Linked DNA regions of Drosophila melanogaster. The protein of the gene in region 2 interacts with the protein of the main gene of each other region in a pairwise test. Each region holds a gene or a part of one and is shown on either strand. Other genes may lie near its edges. The genes, in order: CG4617, CG13405, Marc and sol.

The links.
Region 1: the proteins of CG13405 (region 2) and CG4617 interact in a two-hybrid assay, tested with the Drosophila melanogaster proteins (one large-scale study listed by BioGRID).
Region 3: the proteins of CG13405 (region 2) and Marc interact in a two-hybrid assay, tested with the Drosophila melanogaster proteins (one large-scale study listed by BioGRID).
Region 4: the proteins of CG13405 (region 2) and sol interact in a two-hybrid assay, tested with the Drosophila melanogaster proteins (one large-scale study listed by BioGRID).

What each region holds. Positions count from the first base shown.
Region 1 is NC_004354.4:7,101,283-7,109,439, forward strand, and holds CG4617 (uncharacterized protein), read right to left. Parts: upstream 3,210-8,157; 5' UTR 3,113-3,209; coding exon 3,079-3,112; intron 3,023-3,078; coding exon 2,510-3,022; intron 2,448-2,509; coding exon 1,738-2,447; 3' UTR 1,553-1,737; exon of another isoform or gene 1,428-1,552; 3' UTR 1,273-1,427; downstream 1-1,272. Other genes in the region: CG8300 (uncharacterized protein), read left to right, coding at 3,874-4,110, 4,512-4,832; fz4 (frizzled 4), read right to left, coding at 6,099-6,967, 7,030-7,268, 7,330-8,157.
Region 2 is NT_037436.4:71,437-79,052, forward strand, and holds CG13405 (uncharacterized protein), read right to left. Parts: upstream 3,897-7,616; 5' UTR 3,775-3,896; coding exon 3,202-3,774; 3' UTR 3,018-3,201; intron 2,956-3,017; 3' UTR 2,509-2,955; downstream 1-2,508.
Region 3 is NT_033778.4:9,833,906-9,841,663, reverse strand, and holds Marc (mitochondrial amidoxime reducing component), read right to left. Parts: upstream 1,889-7,758; 5' UTR 1,837-1,888; coding exon 1,830-1,836; intron 1,772-1,829; coding exon 1,149-1,771; intron 1,081-1,148; coding exon 794-1,080; intron 721-793; coding exon 615-720; 3' UTR 501-614; downstream 1-500. Other genes in the region: Vamp7 (Vesicle-associated membrane protein 7), read left to right, coding at 1-124, 189-256, 315-470; Lsm11, read left to right, coding at 2,251-3,021; CG1663 (uncharacterized protein), read right to left, coding at 3,254-4,174, 4,233-4,475.
Region 4 is NC_004354.4:21,345,927-21,354,770, reverse strand, and holds the start of sol (small optic lobes), read right to left. Parts: upstream 4,492-8,844; 5' UTR 4,163-4,491; coding exon 3,921-4,162; intron 3,137-3,920; exon of another isoform or gene 3,010-3,136; coding exon of another isoform or gene 3,005-3,009; intron 2,912-3,004; coding exon 2,286-2,911; intron 2,019-2,285; coding exon 1,106-2,018; intron 678-1,105; coding exon 358-677; intron 292-357; coding exon 1-291. Other genes in the region: peng (penguin), read left to right, coding at 5,020-5,465, 6,067-6,769, 6,838-7,240, 7,339-7,814, 8,022-8,207; dod (dodo), read right to left, coding at 8,340-8,449, 8,819-8,844. UniProt on the Drosophila melanogaster protein: Has a role in eye development. Calcium-regulated non-lysosomal thiol-protease.

The DNA.
Region 1 (8,157 bases), on a different chromosome or scaffold from region 2:
ATTCGATTCAATGACGGCGTGAATTTAATGAAACATTATAGTTTTAAGATCTGCCTGTATTTGCCCGCAATTGAGAGGACTCGAAACTTTGCTGGCTTGTCTGTTCTGAGTTATGACAACTTTTCAATAAACCAACGATGGTGGAATTAAAACACCTCCCAGTTCCCGGCGCCCCCAAAAGTATGCCCCATTGGGCGCGGTGGGAGGTCACGGGGTTGAAAAGCATAACGAACAAACCCCCCACCCCCCCTTCGGAATTTATCACCATAACGACTATGCTAAGCGGTATAAAAATAGATACCTCGGGCATTCCTTATATTGCCAATTACAAAACAGCGGGCGGGGAGCTAGTGCACTGCGAGAAAATGTCTGGACTGCAAATCGCAAGGTATTCCATTTCTTTTTAAGCTTTGAATTTAACAGTTACTGAATCGAATTTATTTTCTAAACAAATTGTGCTTAAGAATCCTTTAAAGTAATTCATTTCACATTCATGTTTTTTGGCTAATGATATTTCAGCTTAGTCTTAAACCTATTTTATCTTATTCAACCAATCTTTCCATCTTTTTTTGTGCCTTGCTTTACCATGTTATTTTTCTCAGTGCACAGGAAGATTGTTTACATCTCCCATTCAGAATCAATCGCCGCACTAATCCAATTTGTAGCGCTGCCGTCACGCAATTCGCCCCTACAACCTGACCGTCCACCTACACAAGTATTTTCCATCCCAATCACAGCTGCTGCCCCCCCCCCCCCCGGAAAATCCAAAAAAAAATGCAGGTGGAAAACTCACCGTTTTTTTGCTGCCGCGGATGTGGCTGCGGATGCTGTGCGTGGGCGGAAGCGGTGGCGGATGCGGATGCCGCGCTGACGTGCGGATCCGGGGCGGAAGAGGATTCGGAATCCCAGGCCCACGCAGGATTCTCAGGGACCCAGAGCTTGCTGCACTGCATCCGGGGATGTGGGAAGATTCGATTTGGCGTCCGTCTTCTTATTTACTTTCCGCGGACTGGCTAGTGGTGGGCAGGGCGGCGATGTAACATCGATAGCTCGCCGTTGTAACGGCAAGCCAAGTCATCGATGGCGCACCAGCGAAGTGCCATCTCTAGAAAGTAAGCAAATAATTAACGTATTTATAAATATTTAAAGTTTATATCTAGCTTATAGTTCCACTATTCGAACCTTCAATTATGGCTTATTTGAGATCATTTTTAAAAATATTTCACTTTTATAAAGATTTTTGGGCAGAGGAAGAAATCATCTCATATTTTTAGCTTTTATATTTATCTTTATTTATTACGTTTATTATAAAAAGTGCCTGCTTAATTTGAAGCTGAAATAAGAATCTTGTGATTCACATTTATTTCACTTAAGGATTATAGGATATTTAATGTTGCCTAATTCTACCAATGTTTCGATGATTTGTGCTTAAATGTTGCAAAAAACAAAAAGTGGAAATAAATAAGTGAACTACTAAACTTTTTAGCGTACGAATTTCAATTCAAGAAGCAAATAAAAAAAAAACTCAATTAGAGGGAGACCTTTTACTTACGATCTAGATGCTTCAGTTTATCAACTAGGCATATCTAATGCGATTAACTATTTCCAGGTTGGCCAACTCCTTACAAACATACAGATCCCGATGGCGACTCTAGTCGCCGCTGGAAGCGCAGCGGCCTGGTATGATTATATATATATATATATGTATGCATTTGCAGTTGCAATCCGGAATTTACTTCATAGTCCGGGCATTACGTAGGCGATGTTGTCGAGCGTGTCGGCCAGATTTTTGCTCAACTGCACATTGTTCTCCATGCCGGGTATTTGCGTGGTCATGCAGAGCAGCGGTCCCATGGCGCAGAGCAGGCTGTCGAGGAGCACGGACAAGCTGCCCGATAGCGCCACGTATCCATTGTGCTTCTTCAGTCGCTCGCCAATCACAGTCAGGCTCTCGCCGAGCAGCTTCAGATGTGCGGCCGCATCGATCACTTCGATGCTGGTCTTTTGCACCTCCTCCTGCTTCAGCTGACCCCCAGTCCGGCCGCTGACGTCCGCATCCGTGTGCACTTGCGCTTGTTTCGTCGCGCTCTTCGAGACCTGCGACCTGGCACTTCGTGTGCTGATGCTGCGCCGCTGTGTGTTGGTGCCAGTCGCTGCTGCTGCCGCCGCTGCGGCAGCCGCTTCTATTGAGGATTGCTGCCGATCGGCGGCCAGTTTTCGAGTGCGACTTGTTGTCGCACGGTTCTGAAAGATCGTCTCGTGCTGCGTGGCATCTGCCAGAGCCGTGCTGCCGTTGCTCGCCGGCTGGGTTGCACCGTTTGCAGCGGTTTTGTCGCGAGTTTTGGCCCTGGACGCCTCGATTTTGGCCTTGCGCCGCCAGGTGTTCTTGTCCCGATTGGAAACGTTCGCCCACAGCTCGCTGAGGCGTCTGGTCGCGCTGGTGAAGTCTGCAAGCGTGCGGGGAATGGTCAATAAGCGATAGAGAGCGCACAGATGTGTAGCAACCTACCTAGATCCTGGAGATCCTTCTGTCGCGCCTCCTTGGCCCACAGACTGTAGGCGGTGTAGCGCTGCTTGCCCTTGTCCTTGCGCTGCACCTTGGCACTCACCACCTTGCCGTCCTTGAGCACCTGCCGCTTGTTGGACTTCTCGCGCATGTAAAGACTCTGACGGACGGATGACTCTTGGCTGGTGGCCTCCGCCTGGACACCATCGACGATATCCTGCACCAGATTGTCCAGTTCATCGTCGGAATTCAGAATGGCCACGACCGTTGCCGTTGTATCCGGATGGAATTCCTCGCTATCCGAGATAATGCCATCATCCACGAGCATCTCCTGGTCAAGATCCAGATCACGCAGCGCATTCGATGGCCTGCCGCGGCCCGAATATCTGGCTGGCTGTCTGGCGCCACTGTGACGCCTTGTGCGCTTCTCGATCTCATCCGGAGATTCAAAATCCAACAATTTCGACGATTTTTTGCGTACGCGTCCGCTGCGCGAAACACCCGTCACCTGGAAATCTAATTGGGAATTTATGACCCCGATTCCATTGACGGCTGCCGCTTTTTCCACTCACCCTTGGCCACCAGGTGCGAGGTTGGGGACTCCATGTTTGGATACCTGCTTTGGAAGATTGGGATGCAATTTGTTGCAAAAAGAACGAATTAAACGAAGCAAACAAAACAGCTGTTTGGTGTGACCAGAGCTTTAAAACGCGATGCATTGCAAGCGATGGTTAAATATGGAACACTAGATAACCATTTTAGTTTTTGAATATATTGCTAAGTTAATAACCATTGCACCAGTCAATTGTACAGAGTAGGAAACCATTAAACTTAATTATTTAATAATATAATATTTTTTATTGTTATATTATTTAAATTATAAGCACAGGATGTGCACGCACAACTTAATTTTTTTATTATATTATTAATTATTTTTATAAACAAAAACATTTACGATATATACGACTGCAATTTCATTTTTATTACAATACATCTAAATTAATATCCAGTTAGCTTGCAAAAACCATCAGCTGGTCACACTGCCGCACCTTTGTTTTGTTTCGACTTTTTTTTTTGCTGTTTGAAAGCGGCTTTTAGTTTATCGATTTGCTTTGCACCTAACTGCGCCAAGCGCCCCATGGCACGCGATTCTCGCCGTTTGTGAGTCGTTTCGCCGGTGGCCCCCAACCCAAGGACATTTTGGCCCCCAGCCGGCCGTATACGCATTTGGCGTTGACCCGCGTCCGCTTTTTTCATGACCAAAACGGCGGCTGCGATTCAAACGAAGCTCAAGCGCAAGCAAAAACATTCGCGCAGCGTCAATCAATCGAGGCGGTACTTAATCGGGTTTAGAGCTATCCATAGCCATGTCAGCGGAGAGGAACAAGAGTGGCGAAGTACGCAGTGCAGCTGGAGGATTGGAACTGGCATCTGCGAGTGGAGCAAGTGCATCCGAGACGGACAATGTGAGCGCCCTTGAACTGCAGTCCAACAAGCGCATGCTGTACTTTAGCGACGGCGTCATGGAGGAGTTGTCCTCGGGCAGCGAGGACGAGGCGGATGCGGAAATGGGCGACAAATGCTACGACGTCCATTTAAACGAGGTACATACATTCAGCAAGGATTATGGGTGGAGTAATGCACTTCCGGCCATCCATTTAGTACATGGTCATGTAGCTGCATTGCTTGTTTACCTTTTTTAAAGCGGGATTGTCCGGATTAACACAGTTAGTTAAATTTGCTCAAGATTAGCCCAGTTCTCCTGATCCAGATAATAACTTTTCACTTTGAGCTCGAGACGTGACTAATGTTCGAAGCGAATTATGATAATAATGTGAGAAATTTTATATCTTTCAATGAAAATGTGTGTTTTGAGCTGTTTAAGTAAACAAACAGGGCCCAGGGCCACGAAAAAGATAAGCAGCTGCCACCCCCCGCCCCCCTCCTCATTGACCATTTAGCGTGACTCATTTAGCCCGCTTTTTTTTTTTTTGCCACCTTTTAGAGCGAAATGCCGCTGGGACCACGCCTGCGTTACAAGGCCAGCAGGATGGGCAACCGATTCCTGGCCGGCATCGACTATGTGGGCGGTGGGCTGGCCCACCTGCTTGGTATCACCAGCAGCAAGTATGCCAGCGAATTGGAGAACTACCACAGGGCCAAGGAGCACGGCGACGAGGACCTTGACAATTGGCACCCGCGGGCCATGTCGACCACGACCAGTAGCAGCAACAACAACAGCAGCGGCAACAACAATCGCAACGAAACCATCGTCCTATGCGAACCAACACGCAGCGAGGCGACCTTGCCACCCACACGGCAGTAGGCGCCCACTGGGCCACCCACTTGCCAGGTGGGTTGTGCAAGGTGGCGATTTTCTTGGCAGGAAGGCGAAACAAAATGCTCATGGAGTACTGGCGACACTTGGAGACTCTTTTACTTGGTAAAAACCATGCGAAACGAAATGAATCAAAACAGATATTAACTTTTCGACACTTTATTCGCTAGCAAATAAGTTATACATATACATATATGATAATAAAAAAAATACACATATAAAATACAATACAATACAATACATATACTGTTAGTCGCGGGCTCCATACGATTCGTATTAGCCCGCAATTGTATAAAGGTTAGTTAGTTTCTTAGCTAGTTAGTTGGACATTTAGAAGTAGGACTTTTTCTGTGCGAAAATCAGCAGAAGTTGAAGGAAAACCCTCAGTAATTCCGCCAAAGTTCGTTGCTGGAAAAGGACTCTTTTAAGGTAATTTCATGATATTGACTCGTTTCAGTTAAGTCCCTAAAGCTAATGGCACACTGAATACAATTAGGCATTACGGCTACGATTGCAATTGCGTTTTTTTTTTTCGATTGTTAAGTACACTTGTTTCGGCATCGGGAGAAGACAGCAAAGTTGGAAACCTAGTTTCTGGTTCCCATTTTTATTTTTTTGTTTTTGAAGACATGAACATGCGTATCACAGTATTTGGTTGCTGCGCGTTTCTCTCTCTCTCTAACTCAAAAAAAAAGAATTTATATAAAAATGCTAAATATATATATGTATATATGTGTTATGTACGCAAAGGCGACACACATTAAGTCCTAATGTCTAAAAGGCAAGAGCGATTATTGAATTTGGTTACACCAAAATGGTAAAAAGGCAACGCAAGGGGCAACTAATTAGGAGCAACATTAAGTACACACAGGAAAATAGGATATGAAGCCCATCTAGGGCAATTACAAATACATTGTAGATGACCTATGACCTCGCGATAAAGGCCCAAACTAAAGCACTAAGAGCACATTTCCGGGGTTATATACACAGTACATAGATCGGTTTACCCCATTGTGTTCTATGGACAGGCAAAGCAACTAAAATCGAAATAACGATATCGTTATCTCACGATCGTTTTATGACAAACAAATTGGACCGTTTCCCCACCCATTTAAGTTGCTTTGCCTCTTTCGATACCCGAAACCGCATTAAGTTATAGTAGAGGATTGACTTTGGCACAGCAGCTGCTGCAGGAACATTGACTGGAAGCAGGAAGCATTTCCTGCCCTGAAATGGTACCTAATCCAATTCCGTCTAGAGTAGCGTCTCATTGCCATACTGCTGCAAGTGGGGATAGTAGCTGCCGTGCTGGCTGTACTTTTGCGAGGCATAGCTACCTGGCGGATAATACAGCCGATGCGAGGATGTGGAGTGATGCTGGTGATTGTGGTGGGGATGGAACTGATGATGCTGCTGCTGCTGGTGATGATGATGATGCGGCGAATGGCGCTGCTGGTGATGCACGCTCCTGCCCAGCGAATAGTTGGACATCTGATTCAGCGATATAGAGCCGGTACCAGGCGAAGTCTTCAGTTTGTACGGACTTGGCGGCAACGGAACACTGGCCATAGAAGTTCGCACCGAATGGTAGGAGACCACCGTGCTATTGCAAGCCGCATGCGATCCACGCGAGCTACTATGCCCGTCCAGGTGTCCAGTTGCTGCTCCGGCAGACGTATGCTTCACCATTTTGCCATTGCTGACTTGCCTCTTGTAGAGAGTGGAAATGCTTGGTCCAAGTACCCAGGCAAAACAGCAAATGCCCAGCATCAGTTCCATGAAGGCGCGCAACAAAAATGGCCAAAGTGGCGTATTGGTATCACCCGATCCCAGCCAGACATCGATGTTGGCAAACTCGTAAATGACAGCCAACAGAAGCATGGCACATGCAAGTCCATAGATGAAAAGGAATATGCCAATGCCGGAACTACTGTGTGCGCTTAGCTGTTGCAGTTGCTGTTGCACGCTGAGTGCATTGCTATTCCTCAGGATCTCCTTGGTGCGACAGTGTACCAAATAGCCGGAGATCAGATTCATCGAGCCAAAGATCCAGTAGCAAAAAACGGGCGTAGCCACCAATATCTGTAGCGCCTTATCCGACTGATTGCCTACGAAACAGGCGCCTAGAAGAGCGTATGGTTGGGTTACTCTCCGAATTCTCCGGCGGATCTATAGCATATCTCACCAAGCAACTCGTCAGCATCCACGAAACGGGCAACGATCACTGCTGACGTTTGAAAGGCCGGCAATCCCCAGGCCACGAAGCACACAAAGTTGTTTTGCGTTAGATCCTGCTGAGCCGTCTTGGCACTGTTCCTCTTCGCCGGACTGCCTCCAAAGTTCGAGGGAATGACCACATGGCCCTTGGAGTCCGGACTGTGCCGACGAATGTCGCGGTGCCAGCCCAAACAGAGCACAGCCCACCTACAAATAGGATATGGGAATATAGTTTCTATAATATTAAGTATATATTATAATCTAATACCAAGCGCAGGCGGCCATTCCAAAATAGTAGCGCATAAGGAAGACACTAGCGCAGGAGGCATTGGACAGTCCGTCCACGGTGAGTAGGGATTCATTGGGCGCCTGGGGATCCGTGCCGCACGCAGTTCCCGTTCTTCCCACCATAAAGCGCACTGCCCAGCCCAAGGTGACCATGTTGTGGCACCAAATCAGCGGCGACAACAATCTGGACCACTTGGCGCTGGCCAAACGACTGCCATCGCTGGCCAAAAGACACACGGTGGCTACCAGGGCCAAACCCAAAGCGGCATAGGCCCATGTGGAGACCCAGATCTCTGCCAGATGCTTCTCCGCCGGTGTGAACAGTATGTCCGCCTCGCAGAGTGGTGCACAGCGTCCAGATCTGGGTAGCCTTACGTACAGATGCGATTTGGCCAGTCCCGAGCAATCCATGGGCAGTTTACCGCCCAATCCACCGGGTATTCCTTGGCCCGGTAGCCCATACAAATCCTGCTCCTGCTGCGGCTGATGCAATTCACCGGGACCTTCCATACACATCGTCTCGTGGTTGTTCTCTCGCGGAAATTTATCGCAGTCGAGAGCCGGTGGCCATGGAAATCCGAATCCCTGCAAAACTGGATGACAACGTATTCGCACGGACTCACAGAGACTCCGGCACGGACCGATGGCATGGACTGGAGCTTTGGGCGTGCACATGGGCACGTAGGCGGCGCACAGGAACAGCTTCAACTGGGAACTGCAGTCGTATTCGATCAGTGGTGCAAAGGTTTGCAGTGTGTACTCCACGTCCGTTTGCATTTCGTTACCCACCAGATTTGGCATGGAGGTC
Region 2 (7,616 bases):
CATAAGCTTTATGCTATCGTAGTCTTTGTTTTGCTGTGCCATTCCATTTATTCCATTCTGCCCCAGCACCGAATCCCTCTCATTCCAATGCTCTCGCTCCATTTGAATGTGAATGAACCCGACCAAGGACAATGATCTACGTTAGCTCAGACTTACAATCAGACCATCGGGGTTTATAGCTCAGGTCCACTTCGTGGACCACGCCCCTAACCAGCCAAGATTTTCGCTTTTATTTTCGTGTGCGATTTATTTGGCCGAGGGTTGATTTTTTACGACTGCGGCAACGGGTAGCAAAAGAAGAGGGAGAAGCCGACGTCATTGACATTGCAAATTTGACGAGGGCAACGCGGCAGAAGCATAGAAATCAGAACAGCAGACAAAACAAATCGTTAAATTTTTACCACCTATACCGCTCCTCCAGCAAAAGTCTGCCTCGAGCTTAGAAAACATTGGCTGGATGCTGTAGACAGACAGATTGGGCATCCAAAACATAGACAAAAAGCATTGTCAAACTATAGTGAACAATCTGAGTATTAGCGGTTTACTTTAACTGGTATGGGGTTAGTATAGTATGGTTATGTTACAAAAAGCGTGGGGTTCATTTAAAATCATGACAAATTGAAATAATTCCGTAATTATCTGTTCGCCGTAGCTAGCAGCTGCCTGCAACTGGATACGTTACGTCACTAAATATTTAGTGACAAGGACGAGCCCAATAAAGGACTCCACTCCCACTGCAATCAAACGAAAGTCTCCCTTAACTCTTAAAAACCGATGTATTTAAACGTAAACGTCTACCCCAAAAGTATGAAAATGAGAACAAAGTCCGCTGTCTGTTGTAAGACCAGTTAGTGGCTCTCCTTCTCGTTGGCCGTATACTTTACTAAAATTTGTGCACCTGCCTTTCATGTGTAGTTTTGCACCTGCTCCACCGTAATCATCATCATCGACGCAGGCGGTGAAGTTGAAAGCATCTCCGACTGCTTTTTGTTTGTTTATTTGTTTTCCCGTTGTCGGGATTATTTATATGTGTGGCAGGGAAGCCCAATGCAGGTGCAGTTCAATGTCCTTTTTGCCAACGGGATCAGTAACTCTATCAAGAAAAGCAGAACGAAAGCATTAACTGCTGCTGAAAGAGGACATATTACTGGAACGTCCTATGATCGCACATAATATCTTTCCAAGTCAAATTTTTTAAATATAAAAAAACAACACTGAATTCAACTTCGAATAATTCAGAATGAGTTAATATCCCTTATATCACACGTGTGAAGCTGTCGATAACCGGGAAAAATTATAGTGATTGTTTTACTTATTCAGTGCGCAAACCTAGACATAGAAGACGACGACTGTATTCCACTTCTGTACTAAGTGCTTTGGTTGGGGGCAAAGCCTTTCTGCCAGACGACAGCCATTATTGCTCTTCGGCTCCGTCCGACCCATCCACTCAACAAAAATGTACGTGTCTCTGAACTTTGACCCTCAGACAGTGCTGTTGCTGTTGCGATTAAGAATGTGACATTTGTGAACCTCTCCACCGCCTACATACTATGGCGCCTGTGTGTGTTGCTGGCATTGGTTGGCACTTTTTATGCGAAATTAATTTAGAAAATTATTTGTTGGAACCGAAACATACCAGCTCTAAAATAGAACGATACGGAATTTACGTTTCTAGTGAAAATGTGAGTGACACTTATCGGTTTAAAGGGTTCATAAGTGGTTGTGTTTGTGACCCACCAGCGAAAGTCTATATCCACACAAAAAAAAAAATGAACACGAGACGCAATTCTTTTTCCATCTGCTCGCCCTTCCACTGAAGCTTGTTCTGGAGGGGCATGACACCTTGATTCTTTTTTCTTCTTCTTATTGTGTTTCCGTTTCACTTGCTCGCCAACGTTATACATACATACATACACGTTATACATACATACATACATACATGTATCTAAAAAAAAAAACATGAATAATTACGACTCTCCTAGATCCGACTCCGCGATTCTGAATCTTCCTAGAGTATTTTTCGCACACTTTTTTTGGGCGGCGAAGATATATACCAAGGTTGTTGGAACGAGACGGGGAGACTGGGAACGTGGAATGGAGCACAGGCGCGTAAAAAATACCCAAGCCGCAGACAGTGCAATAACAACAAGCGGGAGAACGCAGTAGGGTTGGAGAATTGGGTGGGGGGGGGGGGGGGGGGCGAAGAGACATGAACAGAAGACCCAAGGCAGAGGTCCAAAAAACAGAAACAGAACCAGATGGAAAATGGAATGGAATCGAAGCACAGTTAAAGGAATTTTGCTGTATACGTTAATGTGTGCTTGTTTTTGTGTCTGGGCACACACTCATAAACAATGATGAACGGGGTGAATGGACGCAAGGTGACGTCGCAACGCGGTCGAAGCCGCTGCTTCTGCACATTGGGTTGGCGAATTTGGCGCCGACAACATTCCCCTTCTAAAATCGCGCTTTTGAATTTTCCACCTTAGGGTTAAACCATAAATTTCTAAGTTGCAAGTCCACATAAATTATCTTTTAATCGAAATAATTTACATTTCACTTTTCTCCAAATCTTTCTAAATGTAAATAAAATTTAAACAGTGACCAGTTGTGTAGAAAACGTCAAACTATCTCGTTTTTGCGAAGTGTTCCCCATCAAGCGCCACAATGGGCGTGGCACTTGGCGGAGAGTGAGAATTGAGGCATAATAAAAGAAGGAGGAGGGAACGAAGAAATCATCGAGAGAAGTTTTGGTTCAATTCAGTTCGTTTCGATTCATTCTCGTCTACTGGCGTCTTTCTGTGCCTCTTCGGTTATTTGTTTATGGCTGTTTTGCTTTGATCCCCTTATTCTGTCTGGGGGCACAATCGTCTTGTTTTTGCGCTTATTGCTATTGCTCTACACTTTCCCGCTATTTGGCTACTCCACGTCTGGACTCTTGACTATTAAACCCAGCTAAAAGAAGTGCTAGGCAGATATTTTAGAAATCGAGGGATTAAATTAAATTTTGCATTTACTTGCATTTTATTGAAATTTTCTTGCATTTTTTATTCACATTCCCTCCATCCTTTCCCATTTTATTGAGTGCAGTGTCGTTGATATGTGTAGATATGTATATATGTAAAATATGAAGATATTCCACAATTATTCAAGTATTTTCATAACTTTTCCCCGTCAATTTTCGGAAACTCCGCTAGGAAACTAGGTACAACATAGTCCATTATCCGATTCAGAATCCGACTCATATTCGTCAGCCGAATCCGTGGGACAAAAGCCTGATAAGGTCGATTGTAGTTCAGTATAAAAGTAGCTCTTCTCGTCCTCTGTGACTTCCATTTCTATATCTCTGTAGCGCCTAGGTGAACCGAAGTTTTGGAGGTGCATGGCTCTATTCACGAGAACCTTTAAATGGATCTCCTCATGCTCCTGACAGACCCTAAGTTGTTTGTATTCCTGCTTGTCTCTATAAGTCTTGCACTTCTTGAACATCAGTCGATTGGACTTTGCCTTGAGCTCTTTTATAATCCTGTTCTGCGCATCAATAGCGTTGACCACCTCCTGATACTCCTTGTACATTGCCTGTTGCTCTTCATCGTCTTCATCGCTCTCATTGAGGAGCTCAAAGGGATCCTTCTCCTCCACCTCGAACTTATCTTCCTCTTCAACGTCCTGTTCGTCTCCTTCGCCCTCTCCCTCAAAATCTTCAGCAGCTTCTTGTCCTTCATTTTGCTCATTATCAACGTCTCCAGAGGCTTCTTGCTCCACATCAGACATTGCTTCGGATGTTAGGGATAAATTGTATTAAGCGATGCAGGGGTATTAGTTTACATAATTATGAAATACTTTAATAAACCAAATTTTGATATATAAATCAAATACAAATTGTTGTAGTAGATTTATCATGTGATCGACAAACGTAAACATAAAACTCCACACCTTAGAGCCAGTAAAATCTCAGTTTACTGCACACAACAACTACTTTTATTATTTCAGTTCGCCATTTTTTTTAGCACTTCAATAACTTCCGTTTCCGTTTCCCTCGTTATTAGATCTTTTCATATACGATTTATTGTTCTTCTGCCATCATGATAGCTGTTGCGCCGTTAACTTCATTCCTTCTACAATCTCATCTCTCTTATTTCACGCTTTTATTGACTCAGTGATTTCTTGTGGCTGGATCCGGTGGATTACGTTTCAAAGCGCACCACTCGACGGCATGCGTTCGCATTAATTATAGAAACTACAGAATGCATTTTAATTTGGCATAATGTTTATCTCGCAGCAGGGTCGTTTCATCGTACTACCGGTAGTTAAGACGTGAATTCTAACAGATTACAACCTGTAAGCCAGGAAAGAAAGGGTATGTATTTGATAACTGGCCCAGCGACACAAGTTGCTGTTTTAATATCAAACTGGTGCATTGAATGGCATAATAGGAATGCACAATATGTACGCAAAATGTACCTGCAAAGTTGTGTGCAATGAAAGACAAAAATGTAGAGAACAATGTTTAGCAAAGAAATTGAATATGTCGATATAGGGATATACAAATTTAAATTTATTTATTTATTTAATTTAATTTATTTGAATTTACTTAATTAAATAATAAGCACCTTGTTTGGTCCAAGCTTAAGCTTTTATCCTTGATGTTTTCTTGATTACGTCCCTGTTTAATTTTTGGCGTAATTACCAATTGCTTGCGAGTCCCTGAAAGCGACAGTTGCATTAGAAGCGAACACCCATAGCCAGAGCCTATGGGTTTTATCGTCCGTATCAAGGTGGCTTTTCGATTAGCTCCCCATTCAGATTACGCATACGTCACTTAAGCTCAAAAAGACTGCGCCGCCCATTTTAAATCAAATAACGGGCAATTTAATTTACAAAGTTGAAAGCAAGCATAGGCCACCCCCTTTAAGTCTCATACATATTTTGATTTTTATTGGGACATTTTATTCTTTTTTTTTTTTTTTTTTTTTTGATTCCTTTCAGACCATGCAAGTTGCATCAAGTTTTTCTTCCGCTCAGACTTTTGTTTTCCTTTGTCTTGCATCTTTTTTGTGCTATTGTTACAACGGAATGGGGACTGTTTTTTTGTTTATGCCTCTACTGAATAAAATGGTTTCATTAAAAAAGTTTTAAACTTTTTCATTTAATTTAACTGCAGCAAACAACAAGCATCCTTCATCATGAAGCCTTTCTCCTTCTGCGCTTTTCTTTGCCCACTCTCTTGCCATTTTTCACTGCAACTATTTTGTAGAGAGCATCTGTTTCAGATATAGAGATCCTTAGCATGCTTTGATTGTTTTTTTTTTTTTTTTGAATGAGTTTCAATTAAACTTTTCTATTTCCATTTATTGTGCATTTTCCTTCCGCAGCGTATGCTGTCGCAGTTTGTTTCAGTGAGTTGCCACCCCGATTATCACCTGAGTGAGAGGTATCTTGTAGTCGAGGCACTCTACTCTCTCTGTCCTGGTAAACTTTTATTTTAAAATGGCCTCTTAAACGTATTGTCAACTCAGTATATTATTTCGTCGCTTGATTTCCTTTTTTGTTATTATTTTAATCATTCCCATTCACAGAGCATAATTTAAAAGGGGACGTAATAAAAAAGTCGTGTGATGGTGTGAGAATAGGGTTTGTTGAGACCGCCCTTTCTAGTAAGCCGGTCTTCATGTGGCATGACAACATGTCGTATTTGTAATATTTAAACACAACCGCTCAGCGAAGGTTGACAATCTTTGACATTAGACGGGCGTAATGATGAACTCTGACACGCTCAAGGGATGGCAGCGAAGGGAGGAGGTGGAAATGTGAGCGGGGCAGACCCAGAAGAAAAATCAATTTTTGCACAAAAAAAGGGCAAACAAAAAAACAAACACATTGCAATACCAATATTAACAACAATAATAAGTGATGTAAACAAAGTAAATAAATGCGTTGTAATTCCACATGATGAACTGGGGGTAAAAATTGCTGTTAGCATCACGGGTGGCAATAAACCACTTCGTAACTTTAATGTCAAGGAATGCTGCAGTACCAGTCAACTGGACTCAATAAGACAAGGCTGCTCACAAAAAAAAAAAAAAACTATCTCGTGTTTAAATCCAAATATATAATTCCGCTTGACATATATATAAAACTCATCAGTTACCACATGTTGAACATTAAAAACAAAGTTTATTTTCTGAGGAACAGAATTAAAAAATGTTCCGGCGTAGGATTTTGGCGAGTGTAAGAGATTAGATGTGTGTCCATGAAAAGTGTCCTGTTGACTGCGTTGAAATGTCACTCTTGCGACATAGTAATGCGTTTTTCTAACGTCAGCGACGCTGCAATAACTACAGAAATTCACCAGAATGTTGTTACTTTTGTGGCCGACAGAAGTGTAGAAGAAATTACTTTCCTACATTTTTCCCAATAGTCAAAATCATGGGAATATTGAAATACATTTTAATATAAATTAAGATTATCTGTGTAAGAAAACGTTGCATCCATTCCAACAACTTTTTCGACGAAACGTAATATTTTATATTTGCCGAAACATCGCAACATAGTAAAATATTTAAAAATTTTAATGGCATACCGATACAAATTGCAAAGATAATAAATAAAATCATAAATTTATAAATTCTATAAATTTTCCAATTGTGGACGTGATAGCCTTTTGGGGTTTGTGTCTTTTTTTTTTGCCGCATCGTTAGAAATATGTCAACGAAGAAAAAAAACAAAACATTTTTCAAAAGTGTGGGCGTGACAGTTTTTGTGTGTTTGTAGTCAGTTGTGCAACGTTTTGAAGCAATCTTGCACGGTTTAGACGACACTAAAATCTGCATATCTAGTCTCAACAGACTAGCTTTCATATTGTAGTTCACGAGATCAGCGTTCATACAGGCAGACATACCCCGATCGACTCGACTAGTGATCCTGATCAACAATATATGTGCATATCTACTTTATATAGTTGGAAACGCTTCCTTTTAAATCTTACATACATTTTAACGAATCTTGTATACCCTTTTACTTTAAAAATAAAGCGAACATGTTAAATAATACAAATTATTTCTTGGCAAGCCTGAAAGAAAAAAAGGACAGGGAAAGCATATGCTTTTAGTAAAAGATTAAAAAAAAAGTATACTTAGTCGTAACAGGGACCGATAGGAAAGTAAGGAAAACAGGAGGAGAGTAGCAGAGCAACCGTCGAATTATATAATTATATAGTATATTTTTACTATTTACTTCTCCTTTTTTGCTAGAGCGAAACACAGCAATTGAGAGAGAGTGACATAGAAAGCAGCAAGGGTAAAATCGATCGATTTTTAAATGAATTTGGGTCACAGCAATCTCACAGTCCACACCCCTTCAGCCACACAAGCCCCTTTCCCTGTGGCAACTGCATTCGCCCTCGAGGAACGCAGGTATATAAGTGTGTCAGTAGGGGGTTTGCAGCTGGAGATACAGACGGAATACAAGTGTCAGCTGGCTTATGCTCAACTAACTTACCTAATTAACTAAATTCAAATCAAATATAAAAAATTCGTTATTCTGCAATATCTGGGGTGTGTTGGCTTCTTTCATCACCCTTTCATGATGAAAGGGGCATCAATAGTGCACTTAAT
Region 3 (7,758 bases), on a different chromosome or scaffold from region 2:
ACCGAGTTCTCCAAGATCCTGGCCCAGCAGATGGTCTATTTCAGTCAGTCCCGGGAGGTGGACACCATTTCGCGAGTACATGGTCAGATTGACGAGCTTAAAGACATTATGGTTAAGAATATTGGTATGAAGGAAGGAAAATCCGTATGTTCTTTTTGTTTACTATTCCCTTTTCATCCCATTTGCAGACAGCTTGCGGGATCGCGGCGAGAAACTAGAGCTGCTCGTCAACAAGACCGAAAACTTGAGCAATAATGTAAGGTGATGCCAAGCAGAGACTTTTAAATGTGTTTTTCATTTGATCTCTCTTACAGTCCGTTGCATTCCGTAAGGCCTCCCGAAATTTGGCTCGTCAAATGTTTTGGAAGAACATCCGCGTCTACGTGGTGGTGGGTCTGGTGATAACCTTCATCGTTTACGTGATTGTGAGCATGGCCTGTGGTGGCCTCGCTTGGCAGTCCTGTGTTTAGGACAAGCTTTAAAGTTGTTTATATTGTTATAGGCTCATAACACATGTATATTTGCATATAAAACTCTACAGTACTCTCATCTATGTTCTATGTAATAAACTTCAATGTATACCGGATAAAGTGTTAGAAGAGATAATGGAATATTCACTTGTCCTCCACATACACGACGTCGTTGGCCTTCACCTTTCCCGGCAGCCGAAGTCCCATATGAACGCCCAGAGCCGGCGAACTGTAGTTGAACAAGCGATAGCTGTGGATTCCAGATATGAGGGTCGGGTTTTGTAAGTCGTACTTCTCAGATATTTCCATGGGTAGTGACTCACCTTCTGAGCGTTTTGAGAGGCTCTCCTTCGGAACTCCTCTCTGCGGTCTTCGCATTAATGTTGGTAAAAATACAGCGAGTGCATGGCGCCACCGTACGGAAAACAGCATCTTCGCCTATACGCACCCACTGCCAATTGTCCTCGGCATAGGGCTCATCAACATCCATTTTCAGTTCGAAGTTACCTCGGAACTGCAGTGCATCCACCGGATTCTTTAACCGAGTATTAAGATCGGCGACCGACGAAAGGTTCATCAGCATAAAGCTGGTGGCATCGTTAAAAGTGCCCTATGGAAAGAATTCAAATCAAGGGTGATCTGGGTCCTAACACTTCGAATTGCGCATCAGGAACATACCGAGTCCTCCTGTCTAATGAATGGCATGGACTTTAGGCGGGGATTGGTGCATCTCACTGGTTTCGGATAGGGATAGTGAACTAGCTTGAGGCCGCTCTCCTTCTTCAGGATGGCCTGGGAGAACCACGTGTTGATCCGATCTCCGCAGGGCATCACGTCTATGGAAACGCCCCAAACGGAAGTTTTCACATCCTTGCCAGGACCGTCCAGCTTCTCGAAGTCCAGCTCCAGGTCTGGCATGTCCTGGGCGCTGAACACAAGCTTGCTGGGCGACACCTTCTTCGACTTGATCTGGGTCATAAGCGGATACACCCGAGCCGTGATCATTTCGTTCTTTTCATTGACCACCATCAAGGTGCGATCCCTTATTCCCTCAAAGGACATGCTCAGTACATCGCAGTCGTACTCCACTCCGGGCTTCGAGATGTCCATAGGGGCACAGGACTTGACCGGAAAAAAGTGTATCCTCTCCACGGTGCCCACGCGTCGCCACTTTTGGGGAACCACATCGCGGGTCAGATGGCGGTACAGTAGGAAGCTAGCCCCGCCCACCGCCACCAGGCCCACGCCCACGGCCGCCAGGGTCTTGGGACTGAGGTCAAAGGTCGAGTTATTTCCGCCGGCTGCAGGATAATCCACGTTACTTAAGGATCTCCCAGCTAATCCCGGTTTTTCACTCACTTGCCATCTCCTTTGCGCTGTAACACTTGTTGCTTTCTCTGAGTCAAAAGCTCCACTGATTAGGTTTATTGGACAAAAAGCTCTCCTTTGATGAAGATCTCTTACCAAGGCTGGACAACACATGCATCTATGTATATCAGCGGTCATTTTGACAGTAGCAACTGATGATAAGGAATGTAACCTGGTTCTTAGTGCTATTTTTCAGTGATAGGGTAGACTTAATACATTTATTTTTAAATTACCATCCCCGCTCCCTCCAGGTTAATCGATAACTGTTATCGGGCATGCAGCCGGCGAATTCGTGCTCCTTTGTTTACATAACAATTGCAAGAAGCCTGTTGCCTTTTAAGCGGAAAAAGAAAAAAATTTAAGGTTCTTTGTTCTATCAGACTTCTATCGGCAGACTTCGGGAATCAGTGTCATGGAATCGAGGGACCGGAAAACTTCGAATGAGGACGACTCGTCGGAAATCTCCGAATTGGATGTGGGCAGTGATAGGTTTAATCCTCTGCGAGCGTTATACGAACCCAATTTTAGGGTGACCGATGCTGTTCCAAAGGTCATCTACCAGAATCTGGCTGCCTTCGAGAGTGCACTTAAAAAATTCGGCATCTGGCAGCTGAACAAGCGCCAAAAGCCGGGATCCGCAGAAGGAGGAGATCAGGGGACATCGAAAAAGGCTTCCACTTCCGAGGCTGTAGATATTCTACCTCCTGAGCGACGTTTTGAGCCGCACCAGATGCCTACCACTAGTAGCAGAAAGAAGCATCATCGAAATATTTTCACCTACATGGAGGCAGCTGTCGGTCCATTGGAACTCCTAACGAAGTGTATATCCCCTGCTAGCCACAATGAATCCAACGAAAGGAGAAGAGTTCGGGTGGTGATTCGCAAACACGGATCGGTGGGCGGCAGTGTCGAGGGTGAACTGTTGGCCTTTGACAAGCAGTGGAACCTCCTACTGAGGAATGTTACCGAAACCTGGAAGCGACGAAAGTACAATTACGGAGAGCAAAACATATGCGACACACCTGTTGATTGCACAGGCCGCCTCAAGGAGTTGGGTATCACTCTTCCCAGGACTGTAGTCAAAAATCTAAACCGAAAAAACGTGGAGATTCGGCGAGAGCTCCCACAGATTTTAATACGCGGCGAGAATGTGGTTCTAGTTAGTTTAATACCAACAAAATAGTGTATAGCTTATTAAAAGTCACCTCAGATAAAAATCGCGTAGGGTTCTACTTAAAAAACTACAGCAGTCTCTATTAAAGTAGCTAAGAATATATGTAAATTATTGATATATATAATTAAGTTACGCTACAATGTATACAAATTAAGTTATATGATATATTTCCATTTAAGGTTTGAAATCGTTTTACTTTTAAAGAAATTTAAACTACTATTTTATATTTTTCGAAACGTACTTAACTAACGAATCTGTTCAATTCCTCTGGATCATCGTCCTCATATGATTCCATTTCTTCGCTTTGGAGGTGAACCAGTTTATGAAGCTTCAGCAACTCCAGCGTCTTGAATCTCCGCCAGCAAAAGTCGCAGGAGACCTGCCGCGCACTGTTACCGTCGTGAATTTTCCGGATGTGACTCTTCAAGGTGCTATTCTCTCGAAATTGCCGGCTGCAGTGCGGACAACATAGTTTCGGTTGGTCGTGAGTTCGCCGATGAACGGCCAGGGCGGAGCTGGTCTTCGAGCTGTGCCCGCACAGCTCGCAGATATAGTTCCTTTGCCCCGCGTGCATGGCCTGGTGCTGTTGGAAGTCCCACTTGGAAGGTGCATTGTAATCGCATCTGCTGCATTGCCACTCCGGCCGCTTAAAGTGGTACCGTGCCTGGTGTTGTTCTAGCTTGGAGGCGAGTGGAAAGCTCTGGTGGCACACATGACAAACATTCGGATTGGGTCCCCCATGGACGCGGAATTTGTGCAGCCGTAGCAGGCGCTCGTTAAGAAACCGTCGGTCGCACTCCTCGCAAATGGTCACTGATATGTGGTTCGTGGGCATGAATTTCAGCAAACTGTGGTAGTACTTTGGATAGCGACAGCGGAAGTCGGAGCTGCTCAACTGCATTACATACTGTCGCTCAAACCAGACTTGCAGGAAACGGGCACTGGCATTGACCACCTTTGGGTCCAACTGGAAGTGAAATCGATGGAACAGGGCCTCTGCCACTTTTTGGGAACTATCCATGCGATCTTTTTTATTGATCCCGTGCTCAGTTATCCAGAAGAATTTGTGTCTCCGCAGTTGCTGTATGAAGTACTGAATAACTCCGGGGCTGGTGCGCTGCAGGCTGTAGAAGGCTTTGTGGGGTTGGTTCGAGATGTAGTCCTGTGGAAATCAAAGAATCGAAGTCAAGCAAGTGTCATTAATAACCAAGGCTGCTTACATGGTGGCTATTGCTTGCGAGCTCATCATGGCCCTGCTCTTTCTCTGGTGAAAAGTTTGGTTCCACCTCCTCTTCCATAAATTCTACATTTTTGAAAGATTCCTGTACCTCCGCCAACTTGGATTCCTGAGCAATAGACGCCGCCAAGAGATTGGTCATCTCCACCTGAACCTCGTCCTGGATCTCATCCTCATCTGCATTAAATCCACTTTCGTTTCCATGCCTTTGAACCAGGTGCTTCATGAATTCCTTCCATTTGTCACCGCCAAAAGTGTCCACATTACAAAGGCAGCATTTGATTAAAATTGAGGAGTCACTTCTCATGTATACGCGTGCACTTTCTACATAATGCTTCTTATTTGAGTGTTTTGGTATCATGTCCTTAGAATCTGCATGCAATTTATTCCGAAAACTACACATTTTATGAACTAAGTATCGTTTTCAGGTACGATTTGTTTTCCGATAAGTATTCTCATTTACAAGCGCAAGTGTTGGAAAATTCGACTTGGGCCATAGACTTATCGATAGGTAGTTGCACGTCTTATTCGAATTCAAATGGCAGACGACACTCGGCCAAAAAGCAATTTTTGTTTTCGCTTTGTTTTGCTCTTCTTTTGTGTGTGAACTCAAAGGACGGGCTTTGTTGCCTTACGCACAAAAAGTGCATATTGTTGGCCTGACAAAGCGGTAAAAACTTGCGCTTTCATTCATTAAAACTGGGACTGTTGCTGCTTGGAGCGTCGCTGCTGCTTTCGGAACTGCTGTTGGCGCAGTCGCGATCCCGAGCTCAGTCGAAAACACGTTACGCGCCTGTGCAGAGCGTTTTTGCTCTATCCAAACGTTTCCGATCCCATCCGATCCAATCCGATACGATACGATCCGATCCGATCCCATACGATACAAAGCCAGCGGATTCGAAAGTTTTACACCGCGTGCAGCAGAAGCAGCAACAACAGCAGCAGCAAAAAAAGCAACAGCAATAACAATTCGTATGTTTCGTTTGTGTGTTGAAGATTTAATTTTTTATGCAAAGCAAACGACGACAGACTTTTCGGCTGGTCAACAATTTCTATTTTAATTGGCAGTAGCGCCCAGCAATTTACCATAAGCGAATGGAAAGCTGACAAAAGTCACCGACTCCGGTTTATTGTGCATAATCAAGCCAATCAATGTGTTTTCTTTCGTCCACATTATTTGCCATTTTTGCCATTTGCGATTAGCCACTCGCAGATCACGCAGTGGCCAGAATTTGGGTTCTTTGCTCGGAGCGCCAGCGACCCAATTTGTTAACTATCGCCATTATGGCTTAATTGCTAGAAATGAATAAGTTTTTAACGAACTGCGTGCGCCGCTTTTGTGCGTGTCGCTGTTTCCTTTTTCGCGCAGTGTACGCAAATTGGCAAGCGCCGTTAATTAGAAATTTTCTTTGTCAAGGTTGCGAATCCCCCATCGGATTCCCACTTGGACTGCGACTCCGGCTCAAGTGCACGTTCGTTTGTGTTGGCTGTCAATTAGCGTGTTATTCAACCGCGCTCGCAAATAGATCATTAAAGTAAAGCACTCGACGGGCTAATTGTAATTGTAACGATGTGCAAACACCGCCTGCGCAGCTGGCAGTGGAGATATGGCGACTTCTATGGAGTTCTGTTCTGCAGCTCTGCATTCTGATCTCCCAGTAAATTAGCACATCGATTAATTGGCCAAAAACTGGATTCCTTTGCTAGATGGTAAAAACAGGTCGACACAGAAGGAGCTATCAAAATATACATATCAGTTCGAATTAAACTACATTAATTTTACTCGACATTCTAATTATTCCATGTTCTAAAACATTACGATCTCTTAATGATAAAGTCGGATAAATTGGATAACGTGCACTTGTAATACTGAAGTATTTTATTCGTTTATTTGCTTACTTAATATTCTAGTTACATAAACGCGATTCTCCAACTGTTAGAACCACTAAGTGGCGCATTTTAAAGACGCGAACATGATTTGAGCCTCTGAGATTTTTGTGGATAACTTCCAAATCGATGACCTATATCTGCTGGATTTTTTCTCTGTGCCGAGTTACCAGTTTTCCAGGCTTCTGATGACCGGGCAGCATGTATATGGGGCATTCATTCCGTTTTGGGGCCAGGCCACTCCCCGCGCGCACAGGTTAAACAGCTTTTCCCCCTCCACTCGCTTCGGTTCGGTGTGGTTTGGTTCGGCTCGGATTCGAATCCACTCGGCCACATCCCGCTGCCACTCCCCCGAGATTTTCACGGCCACCGGGGGGAAATGGGTCGGTCGCCTTCGTGCGGAAGCCCTCGCATTAGGGCATCCACATCCACACCCACACCCACATCCACAGAATCGTAATCGTGTAAATGGCAAATACACTTTGCTCCCTCTATCGGCGAAATAATCAAATAGCACCAGGTCATAAAGTTTCGGCGTCGGACGTAGTTATCACGCCGATATGGCTTCGTGTGTTGATATCATTCGGGGAACTCTAGTGATTATGTTTATGCGACCTCTAATATAGGAAGCCCCGAATATGTTCAAAATCAAAGATCGGGTTTCAATTGCAGTAAATACACTTGTGTGATTGTTTTATTTTAAAAATACTCTCTGTATCATGAGGGAAATACCCAATAGAAGCTTTACTGTATTGAAAATCCCCTACCTAATGACTTTTATCTTTACTGACGTACTTGAGAATAGTCTTTGGAAAACCACGGAAAGTCAACTTGAGATAAGTGCTTTCAAATTTATAAATTTACGTCATTTATTCCTATTTTTTAAATCATTAACATTTACTATCTAGTTTATGAGGACAATTGTCAAAAATTGCTCGTGACAATTACAATTGTAAAAATAGCATACTTTAAGAATCCGACAAGACTTGATAAATAGGTTTAACCAATTAAATCAATTTTATACAATATTGATGTTAGTTTTGATGACAGTGAACTTTATATTCTTTTTTGAAAGCAACTTGAAAATAGTAAGTTTCTCTTTATAACAGAGTATGAAGTAACCAATTGGATGCTATATTTTAAGATATGATAATATATAATATCAGCTTAAATACTCAAATAATAATAATAATAATTAATTCCTATACCTTTCGTTAATATTCAGTTCGAAAGCCAGTTGAAAATCGCTTGTTATTGGGGACGAATAATAACTTTTCTATAAATAAGCCGTAATAGCCGCTGTCGTAAAGTAATCTTCTACTTATTGAACAACCGAGTAAATAAGGTAAATAGGTCTGGCTAAAGCAATTGTCCCGCAAAGCTGACCCATTGGGCTGAGCAAATAAACAAAACAGTGAGTCAACTCCAAGTTGTTGCCGTTTGCCGAGCAAATAAACAGATAACCGGGCTCTTACCGCATTCACGATCAGAGCAGATCATGCGCTCGCAGCACGTGTAAACTACGTAAATATTCACGGGCGCAATTAATGCCACTTCGGTGGATTGGATTTTCTTCCATTTCGCACGTCGGAAGTGTCCACTTTTGGGGCGCCCAAATACTC
Region 4 (8,844 bases), on a different chromosome or scaffold from region 2:
CAGCATCCTGCTCCTCGTACGACTGACCATCCGGTCGCTCCCGTACCGCCTCCATGGCCATCGAGAGCTGCGGCTGGCGGTGGGACTTGCAGGCACTGCAGACCGGCGAGTGCAGCGAGTTCTTGAGCGTACAGTGGCTGCAGGTCCAGAACTCGCCCTTTCGCAACGTCATGTCCTCGATGGAAGAGATGCTTTTCAGCTTGGAGCCGCCGCACACCACGCAGGCCATTGCTGTCGAGTAGTTAACCAGGGTGCACTTCTTGCAGGTCCATGGCTCGTCGCGGGGTGCTTCTGGAATGCATTAGGTATTTGATATAGCACAAGCATTACATTATTTCCTGAAAACTGATGACACACCTGCCTGTTGCTGCTGCAAGTGGTGGTGGTGGTGCTGCTGCTGCTGCTGCTGCTGCTGTTGCAGCTGCAACTGCTGTTGCTGCTGTTCGGCTTTGGCCTCGCACATCTCGCAAGTCTGGAGCCAGAGTCGGTTGTAGGCATAGGAACATTTGATGCATATCCACATCTTACTGCGGCTGCCGTTGCCAAGCTGTGTCTTATTGTCGTGCCGCGAGGCAGCAGCTGCTCCTACGGCTGCAGCTATAGCTCCAGCTGACGCGGTCCCTGCTGCTGCGGATGCGGCTCCTGATAGGCGGCTGCTGCTCCCTGGATCATGCATACTGCAAATCGAAAGCAAGACCATCAATTGTAATGCAGTCAAGTTCAAAATTGATTCAACACGGGAGATAGGCGAAATCAAAATGTAATTAAATTGAACACTTGAACCACAGATTGTCATAGCCGAGATCAGCACGATTGCGAATGAATTAATTACCTCAACCAAGTTGTGACAATCTTGTGGCAAGCCAATCATTAATTTAAATCATGCCCATAAACAATTTGCTTAAATAATACAACTGAACTTATAGCGGGCAGAATAAAAATAAAAGCTGGTGGACGGGCGAAATACAAACAGAAGGCCGCAGTGACTAAGCGCCACGCAAATTATCAGCAAAAATAAAAACGTAGCCAACTGATAAGCTTCTGCGGGGGATAGGAAGTTGGATGGGTGTGGACTAATCTCGGTCGCACGCTAGCTGCCAATTACATTTTCGACTCGGTCGCCTTGCGCGGTCCCTTCCACACTTTGGCGTAGATGGAGTGCTCCTCCACCTGCGACTCGGATTCGCTGGCCTCGCCGCTGCCATCGGTGCTAGTGCCTAGTCCGGCGGTAAGGGATTCACTGACCGCATCCGCGATCTCGCCACTGCCAGTGTTGTTGTTCGTTTGCGATTCGCTGGCAATCTGTTGCTTCTTCTTGAGCTTGTGCTGCTTGTTCACCTGCGCATAGATGGGCATGGTAGCCGTTGGAGCTGGTTCGGCCATAGCCTTAGCTGATGGCGAACTCGCAATGGCCACCGCCGTCGCGGCTGCCTGTGCCGCCTGCGCAGCAGCTGCTCTTAGTTGCTGCTGGGCCAGGGCCACGCATTCGTTCTCATACAACTTGTTGCTGCCGCTGGAGCTGCTGCTGTTGTTGTTGATGATGTTGCTGTTACCGCTGCTATTGCTATTGCTGTTGCTGTGATGGTGATGATGATGGTTGGAGCTAGAGGAGACGGAGGAGCTGCTGGCCATTGGCTCCGACCACTCGTTGACGGCTATGAAGACGCCGTTCCGCGGAATGGTGAACTGCGTGGGATTCATACTCACTGCTGCTGGCTCCCGCTGGGTTTTCCGCTGCAGCTGCTGCGGATTAGCCGGTGACTTCTGCTGCGGCTCCTGCTGTAGATTCAGATTTAGATTAACGACCTGACGCAGTGGCTTCATTTGGCCATGGCCGGCATCCTTGGCCGCCGACCGAGAGAGCGTGGTGATGGTAAAGTTGTACTTCCGCTTGGCACCGCTCTCGCGAACCACCTTGTGATTCTGGTTCTTGTTATTGTTGTTCTGTTTGCGCCTGCAAAAAGTGTCGTTGGCGATGGCAAAACGGGAGTTGCTGCAGGCGGCCACGGGGGGAATCCCTGCGAGAAACACATAGGGATTAGAATTGGATTATCGGATAACAAGTGCGTGCATTCCGGTTATGGGAAGCTAACACTTTCATCATGATCTGACTAAGATTAAGAACTTTACAAAAAGAGAATAGACTTTAAATAATTCGGTTGTCCATTTAAAGAGTTTCTTCTAGTAAAAATTTGGAAACGATAGGCTGGCCAATAAGAATACCTTATAGTTATTTCCTCAAGTAACCTTTAACCTTTCATTAGTTCGTTAGCTGATGAACGCACCTGTCAGCTGCGGCGCCGGCTTGATCTGCGGCAGATTGAAGATGTCCTTGCTCTGGTTGTTCGCATAGCAAATGTGGCAGCTGCGCCCGGAAGCGCTCTTGTCGATAGCGGTGCTCAGGCTCTGGGTGCGGCGCAGTCCAGAACCCGAGCCCGGTCCGGATCCCGATCCGGATGCAGATCTACCTTTGAGGTGGCGCTTATGCAAGTGCTGGGAATGTAACTGATGCTGATGCTGCTCCTCCAGTTCCTGGTGGAGGTAGTGGTGATGATGATGTGGATGTGAATGGTCCGCCGCCAGCAGCTCGCCGCGATTGCCCAGGCTGCCAGCCAGATCCTGGCCTCGGTCGGCGGCGATGGCGTCCTTGTAAATGGGCGCCAGATAGCTGACCGTGTCGCAGATGAGGCAGTGCCAGGTGACCGAGCTGTTGTCCGTGCCGCAGGCGTGGCACACCCACCGCCGATTCAGGGCCGGATTCGAGAAGTGGCGGTACAGCTCAATAGAGCTCTTGATGTACTTGCGCGTGTCCTCGCAATCCACGCAGTTGGCGGGCAGATTCTGGCTGTTCCGCTGTGGTCTTTTCAAGCATCCGCGCAGCAGGGACTTGTACACATGCTTGTACTCGCTCCTGCAAAATAGGGAAATGGGGTTTTTCGTTTTTCGTCGGGTTTGGATGGGATTCGGTGTTCTTGAGCTGTTTGGGCTTTCCCCACTTCCTGACCGCAAAGGTTATCTCAATGACTGGCCATTTTCCTACTCTCCGCTCGTCCGCTCGACTCGGAAGTTGTTCCTACACCTCTTTTGCTCTTCAGATCGCCGAGCGAGTTCGCGAATCGATAAACTTGTAAACAATGCTTCTTTATCCAAATCGATTTTCCCCAATTCTCGCTGCTCCTCGGCTGTTTTGTTGTTGCTTCTGCCTCTGCTGTGTATACATGCTCTCACATACACACACTCGCGCACACACACACACACACACACACACACGCTCAGGGACAATCACCAGTGCCGACGGCTTGGCTTTTAAAGCTAGACTTTTGAACTGTGTACTTGTACACACTGTACCTTTTCCTAGCCTTTCGAAACTTAAGTTCGTAATATAAAAATCTTTCAACTTATTCCTATACTCCCATTCGAGTTATTCCTATGGATAGTTAATCAGGATTTTCCTAACCGATTTCATTGTTTTCTTATTCTTTAAGTTTCATTATGCACAAAAGGGTTAGTGAGAACTATAAAATTTACTAAGATTTACTCGGTCTGCTCTTTGGATATTAAAGTTCAGCATAGGAGCTTACGTTGGTAAGCTTTTGGTATTATTATTCTTTGAAAGTTAAGGTTTTTGATTGACGAATTTTACCGATGAAAGTATGTACATATTTGTGTATTTGTATATTTTCCAAAGTGTGCATACAATGTGTGTGCGAAAAAAGTTGGATTTGAAAACGCCACCGATTTCTATACACATTACCATATGCGACATGATTTTAGCTAGCGCTTTTGTCCTCCAATTGGATGCCACCACTGGCGCCCACATACACACACACACACACGCATACAGACACAGACACACACAGGCACATCCTCGCAGAGGAGGCATACAGGCTGTTTGTTTTTGTGGCGACCGCTTCGCTTACCTGGCAACCGCCGCCCTGCCCTTCTCCTTGTCCCTCTCCTGCCCCTTCTCCGCCTGCTCCTGCTCCAGTGCATCATCAGCTGTCCAGGAGGCGGTGATGCTGCTGCTGCGATGCTGCTGCTGCTGTTGTTGGGGGAACACCTTGCGGACGGTGCCGCAATTGAAGCACTTGAGCGACTCCGTGGGATTGATAGTGTTACATTTGGTGCACGACCACTGCAGCACGGATGAGATGGTGCCCATTGCGCGGGGGAGTCGCAGGAGTTCCCAGATTCCTTTCGACTTCTGAGTTGTTTCTCTTGCTGTTGTTGTTTTTGTTGTTGTTGGCTGGCTGGCGGGGGAGTGGATGTGGAACTGGGACTGTCTATGGAAACTATGATGTGTAGGTGCGCTTTCGAGCTGGTGGCCGGGCGGAGATGGAGATCAATAGGAGGACCAGAACCCGGGACCAAAACGAGGACCAAGCAGTGGCTTCCAACAGTTGCACGCCGCGTTCTCCGTCGCCGTTTCACACCATTTTTTAACTGTTGCCGCTAGGGTTGTCGACGTTCGCGAACACCTCCAACGACAAGGTTGCCCGAGTGCGTGAACTCTGCCGGACAGGGTTGCCAGCGCGAGAAACACGGCTGCTACCCCGCAAAGCCAGTGTTGGCAAGTGCCGTTAATGAAAAATCGGTACCTTCAATTTTTAGACCAATTCTAATATGTTTTTGGGAATGAATACATACATATATTCATAAAACGACGCAAATACATGCATAAAATTATTTGACCTTCTATAACAAGTAATCAACATTGAGGAGCTTAGTTTAGGAAGAGTTTAAATTTAATATTTAGACATGGATTATTATTTTTTAGCCGCTTTCAAATGGAAAGTCAAATTGAACTGAACGCATTAACTTGAGTTAAATTTTAAACAAATAGAAGCACTTCATTGATACTTACTGTATGTGGAACGAAAATACCAGATTTTGGTATTTACACAGCTTGGGTATACTGCAACAATCTGGTCACTCTGCATCAGCAGCACGTGTAGTTCGCTTTTTTGGCAAAAACATTTGCTGTTATTTAGTTGTAGTGTCCAAGAAAACGCAGCAAAGATGGTTAGCTCGGAGCCGAAAGGACCTGCTAACGTGGCCAACACGGCCTCGCCCCTCAAGGCCCATGAATCGTCCGGCAAGCGCGCCAACGGACAGAAGTTTAAGCCCGGTGGAGCAGGAGGCGCCAGGAAGTTCGACAAATTCGGCGGAGGAGCAGGCAAGTCGTTTGTAAAGCCAGGCGCTGGTGGTGCCAAGAAGTTCGACAAGTCTGGGCCCGGTGGCTTCAAGAAGTTTGACAAATCCGGAGCCACCGGCGACAAGAGGCTTGGTGGCAACAAGTTCCGCGGAAAACCACAAACACAGCCACAGGCGCCGGCGGAGGGCGAGAAACAGGACTGGAACAAGTTCAAGAAGGAGAAGAAGGACCTCAAGCTGAAGCGCAAGAGTGCCAAGGACACCTACGAGATCAGCAAGGAGGCCAACCAGATCCACGAGAAGTTGCGATGGTGAGCATCCCCAAAAACACGATGAACAGCCCAAACAATCGGTTATTATCATCCTTAGCGCTCAAATTACCTATACAAATTATGATAGCTCAACAAAATCGGGCTCTTTCATGCACTTATGTACATTCAGAACGTACAAAGTTGTTTAAATTTCATAAGGCATCAATCTATACGATATAGTTTTAATAATTATAAGTCATTTTGGTTCCTTAAAGGACAAGATATCGATAAACATGGCCATGTGGATCCCAAAACGAAGCACCTGTTCGTGGAAAAACCGAACATTGCCACTTGGTTCGAATTCAAAAACACCAAACATTTTATTCATGTTCTTGAAACAATAATAGCTAGTTAAGCATTTTGATCAGTATCAAAACTAAGTTAATATAGCCTTGTATTTCTGTATAAATGTTGAGTTAGAACCAAGAGCGTAGATTCCAAAGACGCCTATTTAGCGCATGCTGTTTTGTTTGGTCATAAACAAACCAGCTCTATCCTCTGTCGCGTTTTTTTTTTTTTTCGTAAAATTACAACTAATGAATGCGCAAATCCTATTGCTCTGATATATATATATCAACATAATTTGGTGCTTGTCTTGCAGCCGCCGAACGGAGAACAAGGACAAGCTGGTGGAGCAGATATACAAGGTGCTCAACGTGGGCGACACTATTTCAAAGGTGGTGAAGGCCCACGACACCGCCCGCGTGATCCAGAGCATGCTAAAGTACGCGTCGCCAGCTCTGCGGGCCGAGATCTCTGAGAAGCTGCTTCCCTTCACCGTGGAGATGTGCCAGTCGAAATACGCCCAGTTCTGCGTGCAACGGATGCTCAAGTACGGTGCGCCAGCCACCAAAGCCAAGCTGGTGGACAGCCTGTACGGACATATAGTGCGTTTGGCCGGACACAGCATCGGCAGTGGGCTGCTGGATTCGATGTATCAGAGCGCCACACCCAATCAGCGCATCTATATGCGCCAGGAGTTCTACGGCGATCTGTACCGGAAGGCCAAGGATTCGAATGTGAAGACTCTGAGCGACACCTATAAGGAGGCCACGAACATGAAGGCCTCCATTTTGGGGTCGGTTAAAGCAAACCTGGATCATGTGGCCAACAAGCAGCTGGTGGACAGTGCGCTGGTGCACGCCGTGATGCTGGAGTACCTGCGCGCCTGCGACGAAGATGAGGAGAAGCTGGAGGAGACGGTCACTGCGTTTGCGGCTCTAGTGCCTCACATGCTGTCCACCAAGGAGGGCAGCGAGGCGGCTGTTATATGCTTCTACAAGTCGACGCCCAAGAATCGCAGAGTAAGTGGATCACGTATAACGTGTGTTGATGAAACAGAATCTTATATGTATTCTAACCCCTTCTTCAGGCCATTATCAAGAATATCAAGGAGCACCTGCTAAAGATCGCCAACCATGAGCACGGCCACGTGTTCCTCATCTCGCTGCTAAACGCACTGGACGACACTAAGGCGACCAAGAAGGCAATTTACGATCACCTACACGGAGATCTAAAGGCGCTAATGAGCAGCCCGTACGGCCGACGAGTGATTCAATGGCTGGTGGCTCCGGGTGATACGACATGCTTCCATCCAGAGTTCATTCGCACGGTGGAGGAGGGTCTAGCCTTTGGAAAAAAGGAGAAGGAGCTGCGTCGCAAGGAGATCCTTGAGCAGATAGAGGCGCCGATTGCACAGTCCATCGCCGAGGATGCCGCCTTTTGGCTGTCCAACAGCCACATCGGCCTGGTCACCGGCGATATTCTTAATCACAGTAAGTGCACACTTCTGAAAGCCATAGCAGAAACATACATATGGATTTACAAGAATATGTTCACGATATTAATGTACGTTTGCATCTCTGCCTTTTAGTTCAAGGCGAGTCCTATGAGAAGGCTGCTTCGGCCCTTGCCCAAGTCGTCGTCCAACCGGAGTGGCGCATTTCAGCAGACGCCGCCGGTCCGCAGCCGCAGGATAAGAAGAAGCCTCACAATGACGTGGAGGCCATTATAGCCCAGGCCACCAAACAGCGCAGAAAACTGCTTTATGTCGAGAGCAGCAGCGACGACGAAGATGAAGATGAAGATGAAGATGAGGAGAGCGACGATGAAGGAGACGAGAAGGAGCAGAAGGAGGCGGCCGCAGATGATGCCGAACCCAAGGTGAAGAAAGCCAAAAAGGAGCCCAAAAAGCCAAAGGCAAAGGAGGAGGAGCCGGCGGCTCCGTTGGTCTCCGGAATCGAGGAGGCCGGCATGCACATTGTATTGAAGAAGATACTCAAGAACGATGGCAAGCGAGAGGGCACCCCGTTCAGCCAACAGCTACTCCAAAACTTGTCCTCCGATGTGGTAAGTACCCAAAAATCATGCCATCCGGTAACCGAGGGTATCTTCCTTTTTCCCAGTCATGAGAAACGCATCGTACTTTTGAGTTTTTTCTTTTATTTAATGACGTTTCGACATTCCTTTAGCTTTAGTCTAATAAATAAGTAGTCGCAAAGTAAACAGCTTCACTCAGATTCCAATTCCTAATTGCGATTCCCTTTCCCTTTTCAGCTGAAAGCCTGGCTGGGCGTCAACCGGGCCTGTTTTGTCCTGCTCAAGCTGGTGGAGGAGTGTCCCGCACTGCTGGACGACTGCAAGAAAGCCATCGCGGCGGAGAGGAGCCTTAGCCAGATACTCGCGGACCGTAAGACGCCCGGAGCCAAGCTACTGGCCGCCAAACTGGACATTGGCAAATGAGAAACGCTTCTAGCCTAGACAAGACCTAACATTTTAAAATACAATAAATAATTCTATATTGAAATGGCTGGGCATTCCGTTTTATTCATGTGAAGGGACGCGAGTTGTGCTGTGGGTCGGTGCTCGATGAGTCTATGCCTTGCGCAGGATGATGTGCAGGCCGGAGTCGCTGTCGACGATGCCCGACAGCTGGTTGACGTTCAATTTGAAGGCAGCGTCCTCGAAAGCCGCCTGCATCTGACCTGTGAGATGTGAAATGTAATTAGAAGCAGTTGCAGGTCGGTTGGGTGGCCTAAACTCTACGATTGCAAGTAGCTCGCGAAGTTATAGGTACAAAAATGTGTAAGGTAAGGAAGATTAAAAAAGAAATGCCGCGGAGCCAATTGCAAATAGTGTTTGTCTATAACTATGCATCTATAATCTATTAGTGGTCGATATATCTTCTCTTCTCTTCTCTTGAATATTGAAAACAATCAGAGCCTCTAGTGGAAGTACCAATCTGTTTCTGGATTGCGCCTCAAGTGGGAAGCGCCTTATTCCTAAACGGACACACATCGAGGACCACTCGATCCTGGACGTGTGACAAATGCACAGTGGGGAGATATACATACCTCTGCCGAACTTTCCCAGGTCGCCG